Linked DNA regions of Sus scrofa. The protein of the gene in region 1 interacts with the protein of each later gene in a pairwise test. Links are inferred from orthologs where the notes say so. Each region holds a gene or a part of one and is shown in the gene's direction. Other genes may lie near its edges. The genes, in order: GPN1 and GPN2.

What was found.
Region 2: the proteins of GPN1 (region 1) and GPN2 interact in binary tests that used the Homo sapiens proteins (3 or more experiments, as listed by UniProt). The link is inferred for Sus scrofa from reciprocal best matches to the Homo sapiens genes GPN1 and GPN2.

The regions. Positions count from the first base shown.
Region 1 is NC_010445.4:111,562,155-111,566,752, reverse strand, and holds the start of GPN1 (GPN-loop GTPase 1), read left to right. Parts: upstream 1-1,687; 5' UTR 1,688-1,727; coding exon 1,728-1,838; intron 1,839-2,524; coding exon 2,525-2,618; intron 2,619-4,598. Other genes in the region: CCDC121 (coiled-coil domain-containing protein 121), read right to left, coding at 1-298, 1,045-1,544. UniProt on the Homo sapiens protein: Small GTPase required for proper nuclear import of RNA polymerase II (RNAPII). May act at an RNAP assembly step prior to nuclear import.
Region 2 is NC_010448.4:84,206,895-84,211,458, reverse strand, and holds the start of GPN2 (GPN-loop GTPase 2), read left to right. Parts: upstream 1-1,729; 5' UTR 1,730-1,989; coding exon 1,990-2,400; exon of another isoform or gene 2,401-2,551; intron 2,552-2,940; coding exon 2,941-3,097; intron 3,098-4,564. Other genes in the region: GPATCH3 (GPN-loop GTPase 2), read left to right, coding at 1-105, 213-340, 834-1,050. UniProt on the Homo sapiens protein: Small GTPase required for proper localization of RNA polymerase II and III (RNAPII and RNAPIII). May act at an RNAP assembly step prior to nuclear import.

The DNA.
Region 1 (4,598 bases):
GTCGTTCCACAGCTTCTCAATTCGCTGTTTACACTCCTCTGTTTGCTTGGTCAGGTATTCCAGAAAGAACTGGTTTTCCTTCTTGACATGTGCCTTTTCTGCAAGCAGCTGCCTAGTATCCCCCATTATAGGTTCTAGCCGGATTTGAGTTTCTTTGATTTGCTTGTCCAGCTTCATCATTTCTACTATTGCCTTTTCTTTAAACCTCTTCTCTCTCTTTGTTAGCTTCTCTGGCTTGAGAAAATTATTTAGGAAGCGAAGATCTGGTTGAAGGGAACTACTGGAGTCCTCAGCCAATCTGAAGGAAGAACAAGCGAGACATTCCCCCATCAGGAAAAGTTAGGAAAGAATCTTAAAAATGCACACCTGTACCTCCACATCCCAAATACTTGGGAGCCCTGGAGTTCCCGTCATGGTTCAGGGGTTAACGAATCCGACTGGGAACCATGAGGTTGTGGGTTCGATTCCTGGTCTTGCTCAGTGGGTTAAGGATCCAGCGTTGCCGTGAGCTGTGTGTGGTGTAGGTCGCCGACGCGGCTCGGATCTGGCATTGCTGTGGCTGTGGCATACGCTGGCAGCTACAGCTCCTATTAGAGCCCTAGCCTGGGAACGTCCATATACCAGGGCTTCGGCCCTAGAAAAGACAAACAACAATAAAAAACAAATATTTGGAAGCACCTATGATGTTCCTCACACAAGGCACCGGCATCGGGAATAGGACTAAGGGTAAAGACGTTGAGAGTGTAGTTTACAACCCACACTACGCCTTCACCGCAACCCTGCGAGGTAGTATCTCAAATGTAAAGAGGAGAGAACAGGTTTAGAGAACTTAAGTGGCCTGGCCACAATATACACCGCCAGCGGGTGGCAGAACCTGGGCTTGAAACCCAGATCTCAAGGCTTAACTGCACACTACAGGCACTCCGAAGGGCCGCAGAAGCCATCTGGCCGGTCGGGAGTTAGGGCATAGGGCTCGGCTCTTCCACCACCTTTCCGGGTGCCCAAGGCGCTTTGAGGGGAGGGATGCGCTCCTTCAGTACCTACTTGACAAACTCGGCAACCAAACGTTCCTCCCCCAAGCCTCGGCGCAGCTCCTTTGGGGAGGCCGTCAGGGAGCCAGCGCTAGAGCCGGGGGCCGGCGACACGCGGACACCGCGTCGCAGTCTAGAGGGTTTTCCCAGTTTCTCCCGACGGGTCTCTGGAGGTCTCGGAGCGGCCCAGCAACTCCGGGGCTCGCATACAGCCCGGGTCCTGGCCTGTCCAGCTCTGAGCCGCTTAACCTCCTCGGCTGCCGGACCAGCCCTAGCGGCTGGTTCTCCCGCGGCTCGGTTTCCTGCTCGCAGCGGGTCGGCAGGAAAACGCCCTCTCTTGACTCTCGTACTGTGTGAGCCCGGGGGTCCCCTGTCCTCCCACCCGCCTGGGGTCCGCAGCTGTGTCCTTAGCAGGCCTCGCCCGACGACGGTGAGCTGCTCTGGGGCTGACCCCTTCCAGTTGTCGTCCCAGTGTCTCCACCTCCCCGTCTCTGTCCCTAGTTGGGCCCCCATCCGGGTCCGGACGGACAGACACTAAGGCGCACGTCTCTCCCCTTGGTCCTGCCCTCCCGGGCCAGTTGGGTTTGGTTCGGTTCGGTTCGGTTTGGTTCTAGTCTCATTCAGCGTCCCGAACCTCGCGGGAGTCTCTCTAGCTACGACCGTCTCTATGGTCGAGTGGGCGGAGCCAGGAGCAAGATGGCTGCGCCCGAAGCTGCCACGGTGCCGCAAGCTTCCGGGGGTCCCCGGGCTCCGGCGTGCCTGTTGGTGCTGGGAATGGCGGGGTCTGGGAAAACCACCTTTGTACAGGTGACCTACACGGCGCGGGCGGAGTAGGGGCGCGGTGGAAGTTGTCTGTGGCGGGCGTAAGGCCAGGGAGAAAGGGAGGGAGATCTCTGGGGAGTTGGAGGGTACCGGCGCCAGGCTTTTAGGGTCTTGCCAGCAACTCCGGTTCCTTCCTCGGTGAACCCTTCTCAGATCCTCACTTGGGTTCATTTAGCCTCTTTCTGAGCCCCCTCAGTGCCTACGAGGTATGACCGTACTTGAAATTGTCTTGTCGGCCAACTCCTCAAAGGTAGAGGCTTACAAGGAATCCTGGCAGGTAATACAGTGCTAGCACACAGGCTTTCGGTGTAGATTCCTAAAGAATTCTATCTGGGGTGCCTCCTGTGTGTCAGGCACTGGGGATACAGCGGAAATGAAGTAACAAGGTTCCCGCTTAGGTGGAATTTAAGTTTTGTGGGAGATATGGAAACCCCGTCGTCCCCCCCGCCCCCCTAGTCAATACTTGATGGAGAGTACGATGTGTGATGAAGAAACGTTGCATTCAACTGAGAGTGATTGTTGGAGGTGGAGATCAGAGGTGGATATTTAAGGTAGAGGGAAATGCAAGTGCAAAATTCCTCTGGTAAGTTGGATAGAGGGGTGGGAGTTCTCTCTTGGTTCTGTATCATGCCTCTTGGTCTCAGTCTATCCCTCTCTCCATATCTCTGCAGAGGCTCACCGGACATCTGCATAGTCAAGGCTCTCCACCTTATGTGATCAACCTGGACCCAGCTGTGCATGAAGTTCCCTTTCCTGCCAATATTGGTGAGTAAACTGTACCAGAACTGGTGTGAAGTTTCTCAGAGAGTGGAAAACTGTCAGCCTATCCATCAGGCTTAAATGCTTTCATTTTTGATGTTGTCTAGCATTTCCCTTGGATTTGCTAGCATCCTTAGGCTTCTTCCCGATGATCATTTTCTCTTTGTTTACTCCTTCCCCCTTTCTAAATTTCTTTCCTTATCACCTACCATTTTCATTACCTCTCTTTGACTTTAGGGTGTGAGACTATGGTATTTGGGAAAATGAAGTGACAGAAAGTCAGTCTTTTGGCTTCTAAGCTGTAAATCCTTCAGCAGGCTCTGATACATAAACCTTGTTTTTATAGTTTCTTCCAGTTTGGATGATTTTTTTTTTTTTTTTTTTTTTTTTTTTTTTTTTTTTTTTTTTTTTTTTTTTTTTTTTTTTTTTTTTTTTTTTTTTTTTTTTTTTTTTTTTTTTTTTTTTTTTTTTTTTTTTTTTTTTTTTTTTTTTTTTTTTTTTTTTTTTTTTTTTTTTTTTTTTTTTTTTTTTTTTTTTTTTTTTTTTTTTTTTTTTTTTTTTTTTTTTTTTTTTTTTTTTTTTTTTTTTGGAGCATGAGTGTCTTGAACAGTAATTTGCTTACTGCAGTAGTTTGCTTTCAAAGTTACATGGAGAAATGTGTGTAAATATGCCTGTATGTGGTTGTGCGAGACGTTCCCTCCCTGTTATCATCAGACTTGACTATAAAAAAGATTAAGAATGGATATGATGCAGAGTCCTGATTCTTGATAGGATCTAGGCATCCTGATCTCCACAGACTATTCCTGGGTATTAGGCTTTTCCCTACTGGTTTCTTTTTAATTCTATTAAGCTTGTACTCCAGTGCTGATAAAGGAAAACTTTGTATTAAGAAGCAGAAATCATTATGGGAAGAGTTTTGGGAAAAAAAGTTCCCATCGTTTCACTTAAAGGATGGAACTCTAATAGTTGATGGAGAAGGTCTGCTGACTGCTAGATAGGTTTGGTTAGATATTACTGGACAGATCAATTTTTAAAATTTTAAATTCCATCCACATAATTTTTTTCTGATTTTATTGAGGTATAATTGATATGCAGCATTGTATATGATGAAGTTGTACAGCATAATGATTTGATTTACATACTCCTGAAGTGGTTACCATAGTTTAGTGAACATTTATCATCTCATATAGATACAAAATTAAAGAATAGAAAAAAAGTTTGTTTTCCTTGTGAATGAGAACTCTTAGCAACTTTCATTTATAGTGTAGAACAGTGCTCATTACATTTATAACGTTGTGTATAAATCCCTAGCATTTATTCATATTAGCACCGGAAGTTAGTACTTTTTTTTTTTTTTTTTTTTTTGGTCTTTTTGCCTTTTCCAGGCTGCTTCCATGGCATATGGAGGTTCCCAGGCTAGGGGTCGAATCAGAACTACAGCTGCCGGCCTAGGCCATAGCCATGGCAATGAGGGATCTGAGCCATGTCTGTGACCTACACCACAGCTCACAGCAACACCAGATCCTTAACCCACTGAGCGAGGCCAGGGATCAAACCCACAACCTCATGGTTCCTAGTCGGATCCGCTTCCACTGTGTCACAATGGGAACTCCAACCTTTATAAAAATATTATCTGTATTACTTTTGTTATCAGTAAACGAAGAGTAAGGAAATAAACCTTTTTTCTTGATTTAGCTCCCCTTTTCTATGAATGTGGTCAGTAGGTATTTAAATTGTATATAACTTTCCTCCTTGTCTCAGACCATCCTTACTGTAGCTTGAGAGAACTCCTAGCCTAACATTTTTATTGGCAGTTACTTAGCAGTTATCCTTGGCTGTAAGGAAGGGAACCAGTGTGAAGCTGGAGAAATTGCTAGAAGACAGTACTGACAACAGAAGCCTCAAAAGCTAGTTTCAGTTTCTTGTTGGGAGGGAAGGTACTTAGAGGATACCTTCTGTCCTCCTAGTCTCCTCCTGATCTTACTT
Region 2 (4,564 bases), on another chromosome or scaffold:
GCCCGAGACTCTGTCCAAATGCGTCTGGAACAGAGACTCCGTGATGGCCAGGAGGCTGGCTCTGTGATCAGGCACCAGGTGGGCACCTTCGAGCGCCACACCAAGGTGAGCACTGTGCCCAGCCTACTGACTCCTCTCTTCTCCTTCCCTACCCCTGTTTCCTTGAGCCCCCACAGGCGCCCCAACTCTTGAGTTCTCTCCCTTTTCTCTAGGGCATTGGGCGGAAGGTGATGGAGCGGCAGGGCTGGGCTGAGGGCCAGGGCCTGGGCAGCCAGTGCTCAGGGGTGCCTGAGGCCCTGGATAGTGATGGCCAGCACCCCAGATGCAAGCGTGGATTGGGGTGAGTATGGCTGAGGGACTTCCCAGGGAGCCCAAGGGAGCCTTTCAACTCTACCCTGGTTCCCCCTGCCCTCTGGTTTTGGCTTAGGTGCTAGAGACTCCCTAGGGAATGACTTTCAAAGCAGAATTAGAAAGAAAAAAAGTAGGACTGGCACTGTTTTTTTCAAGACCAAGATCTCAGGCTTGATAGGATCATTAACTTCCTGCAGGAGTCATTCCCCCAAGTCTGAGCAGTGTAGCCTGGATGATTGCTGTTAGGGATGCAGAGTGGTGACAGTTGTTCTCAATTTTGTCTACTGTTTAAAATGAAAGCGGTGAGGCCGCTAGTTTTTGGTGCTATCTATAGATGGATAAGGGGGCTGGAGAGCAAAGATTTAGATTTAAATGCTTTGTCTTTGGGACAGACTATATACGCGTAGCTATTTCCTGTCCTTTCCAACCCCTTTACTGAGGTAAGAGAGCTGCCCTCTCACTGAGAGCCCTTTTTAATCCAGGTACCATGGAGAGAAGCTGCAGCCATTTGGGCAACTGAAGAGACCCCGTGGAACTGGCTTGGGGCTGATCTCCACCATCTATGATGAGCCCCTGCCCCAGGACCAGGGGGAGTCGCTGCTCCGCCGCCAGCCACCCACCAGTATGAAGTTTCGTACAGACATGGCTTTTGTGAGAGGTTCCAGCTGTGCCTTGGACAGCCCTTCAGAGCCTGAGTGACAGGTCCAGGGGCTTCCTTAATCAGGATCACTCATAATTGCACAGTGGCAGCCCTCTATACGGTCTTATCTAATGCCAAAGCAAAAAGAACTCTGGGAGCAGCAATCTGCCCTAGCCTGTTCAGGATGCTTTTTTAGAACTTGCCTCCTGGCTGTCTACCTCAGGGGCATTTTGACAAAAAGTCCCCAATCCTCCCTTTTGATGAAACGGCTTAATGACCTCTCCCTGGTGGCCGCCTAACCCTGGTCTGTTTGGGCTTGCTCCTGTTGCTTCCCCCAGTACGATGAAAAGCCAAACTGCCTGAGATTACCAGCACAACTTCCCGTGGGGAGGGGTAGGGAGGTCGCCACGAAGCCCAGAAGGAGGGGAAAAGGGACATGGAAGAGGAGAAGATTTGCGCTCTGAAGAGACGGTTTGGGGGCCGGCCCTCCTTCGCCTCTCCCCTTAACTGGCTGGGACCGGGCAGCGGAGAGTCTAAGGCAGTTATCCCGAGTCTGAGACCTAATGGGAGAATAAAGGAGTGTATTACCGAATTTCTCCTCTTCTAACTTGGGCTTGGCGGAAGGTGGGGGAAAACCCTGAAAAGTTCTTCCTGGACCTGCTTACGCCTCATGCTTCGGCGCCGCCACGCCCCTCGGCGCCAAGCTATGTCGTCACTGTAAAGGCGGGACTTCCTCTCCGGCCCTCGCTGTTTCCGGCGTTGTACGGAAGTCGGGTGCTGGTCTGGTCAGTGCCTGGCCATTTGGTCCCCTTACAGCGCGCCTTTTCCAGCTCTCTCTCCTTAGGCGGCTTCCGGGTATCGCTGCCAGTCCCCAGCCAAGTGCAGTTAGGGGAACCCATTGCCCTCGGCTCTTGTCTGCGGTGCGGCTCCCCCCTTGCTTCCTCTCTGAACTTGTCTGCTACGCACTTCCTCTCACTTGTCTGAGCCGTGTGCCGCCCATGGCAGGGGCCGCTCAGACCACGGCCTTTGGGCAAGCGGTGATCGGCCCGCCGGGCTCGGGGAAGACCACGTACTGCCTGGGCATGAGTGAGTTTCTGCGAGCGCTGGGCCGGCGCGTGGCGGTGGTGAACCTGGACCCGGCCAACGAGGGGCTGCCATATGAGTGCGCCGTAGATGTGGGCGAGCTGGTGGGCCTGAGCGACGTTATGGACGAGCTGCAGCTGGGGCCCAACGGCGGTCTGCTGTACTGCATGGAGTACCTAGAGGCCAACCTGGACTGGCTGCGCGCGAAACTCGACCCCCTTCGCGGCCACTACTTCCTCTTTGACTGCCCTGGTCAAGTGGAGCTCTGCACGCACCACGGAGCCCTGCGCAGCATCTTCTCCCAGATGACGCAGTGGGACCTCAGGGTGCGTCTGGGATCTGGCCCATTTTGCGGATGGAGGAACTGAGACGGAGAGGACAGATGCCACGCCCCCATGTCCCATAGCTAAGTATGGGGTAGAATTGCTCTGAAGTAAAACAAGTGTGAATTCGAATTCTGGCTCTACCACTGACTCGGTGTGTGGTCCTGGGAAAGTCAGTTTCATTCTCTGAACCTCAGTTTTCTCATCTGTATAATGAATGTGTTAGTACCCAACTTAGAATTATTGGAAGTATGGAAAGGGTTATGTGGAAAGTGGCATGGTGGTTGTGATTTGGTGGGCAAAAGAAAGTTAAAGAATAGAGTCAGATGCAGTGGGAATTGTACCAGTTGCCTGCAGGAAAGAAATGCCCCATATTTCCTGGGATAAGGAGATGACTCTATTAGAATGAACAGAAGCAGGAGGAGACTAATGGGAAGATTTGCCCTTTGTCCTCAGAAGTCCCCGGTCTGATGGGGAGACATAGGCCCTAATGTTCCTTGCCTCCCCAGGCCACTCTCACCCTGTCTCTTCCTTCCCTCCCAGCTGACTGCTGTCCACCTGGTGGATTCTCACTATTGCACAGACCCTGCCAAGTTCATTTCAGTACTGTGTACCTCCCTAGCCACCATGCTGCATGTGGAGCTCCCCCATGTCAACCTCCTCTCCAAGATGGACCTCATTGAACACTATGGGAAGCTGGGTAAGAGCTCCTGTCCTGGCAGGCAAAAATCAGAGAAGCATCTGGGCTGCACTGGAGCAGAAATCTCAGCTGAAGGTAGCTGCTTCCAGGAACCATGCATGGCCTGGTGGGAGTAGCCACAGGCAGGTCCTGACCCCTGCCCATTTATTTTATGCCACCCTGTGCCAGATATTGTTCTGGGTTTTGGGGGACAAGAGGGCTACAGATGGTTATGTGTATTTTGAAGGAATTAGAAGTAAGTAATGGAACGGGAGTGAGGAGAGTGAACAGTACCATCTGAACTGAGATCAGAATAGTGAGTGGGAGCCTGCCAAGGCAGAACTGTTCCTAGGCAGAAGGACCACTAAGGGCCCTTCAGGAAAGAGCTTTTTGTGTTCTAGGAAAAGGGGGTGGGGAGTTGGGTGAGTCCAGGGTAGCTGAGATAGTGGCTCAGGGAAGGGTGGTAGGAAATGAGGTCAGAGAGGTTAGTAGGGGCCAGAACCTGTACTGTCAAAACAGAGAAGAAAGCCATTGATGAATATGAGGCAAGGGAACAGCATGAACTGGAAAAGTCCTTCCAGCTGTTTTGTGAATTAAAAGGGGCACCTATAAATCCTGTAGTAAGATTTTGCAACAGCCCAGGCAGTGGTCTTGGGAATGGAGAGAAGTAGATAGATTCAAAACTTAACTCCAGAAATAGGATTTGCTGGTGGATTAGACATAGAGGCAGGGGAATTAAGGATGACTCTCAGGTTTCTGACTGAACCAGTGGACAAAGGTGCCATTTATCAAGATGGGAAAGACTTGGGGAGAGGCAAGCTGACAAGGGCATTGCCCAGGGGTTCTAATAGCCAGCTTTTTTTTTTTTTTTTTTTTTTAAATGACTACACCAGCAGCATATGGAAGTTCCCAGGCTAGGGATTGAATGCGACCTACGCCACAACTGCAGCAATGCCAGATCCTTAACCAACAGAGCTAGGCCAGGGATCAAACCCATGCCTCCACAGCAACTCAAGCCTCTGCAGTTGGACTTTTTTTTTTTTTTTTTTTTTTTTTTTTTTGTCTTTTCTAGGGCCGCACTCGCGGCATATGGAGGTTCCCACGCTAGGGGTCTAATTGGAGCTATAGCCTCTGGCCTACACCACAGCCACAGCAACTCAGGATCCGAGCCGCTTCTTCAACCTACACTGCAGCTCATGGCAATACCGGATCCTTGACCCACTGAGCAAGGCCAGGGATCGAACCCAAAACCTAGTCGGATTTGTTAACCACTGAGCCACGATGGGAGCTCCCTGCAGTTGGATTCTTAACCCACTGTGCCACAGCGAGAACTCCAGCCAGGATTTTTTTCTTGCACGATTAGTGCTCTGCTGCTCTGGGGACATCAGTTCCCTAAATAGCATCTCCAGCCGCAAAGTAACCTAGAGAAGAACAGTTGAAATGACAAGCAGTGAGCAGGAAGGGAGGTTGTGGGGACAGTGAAGTGTC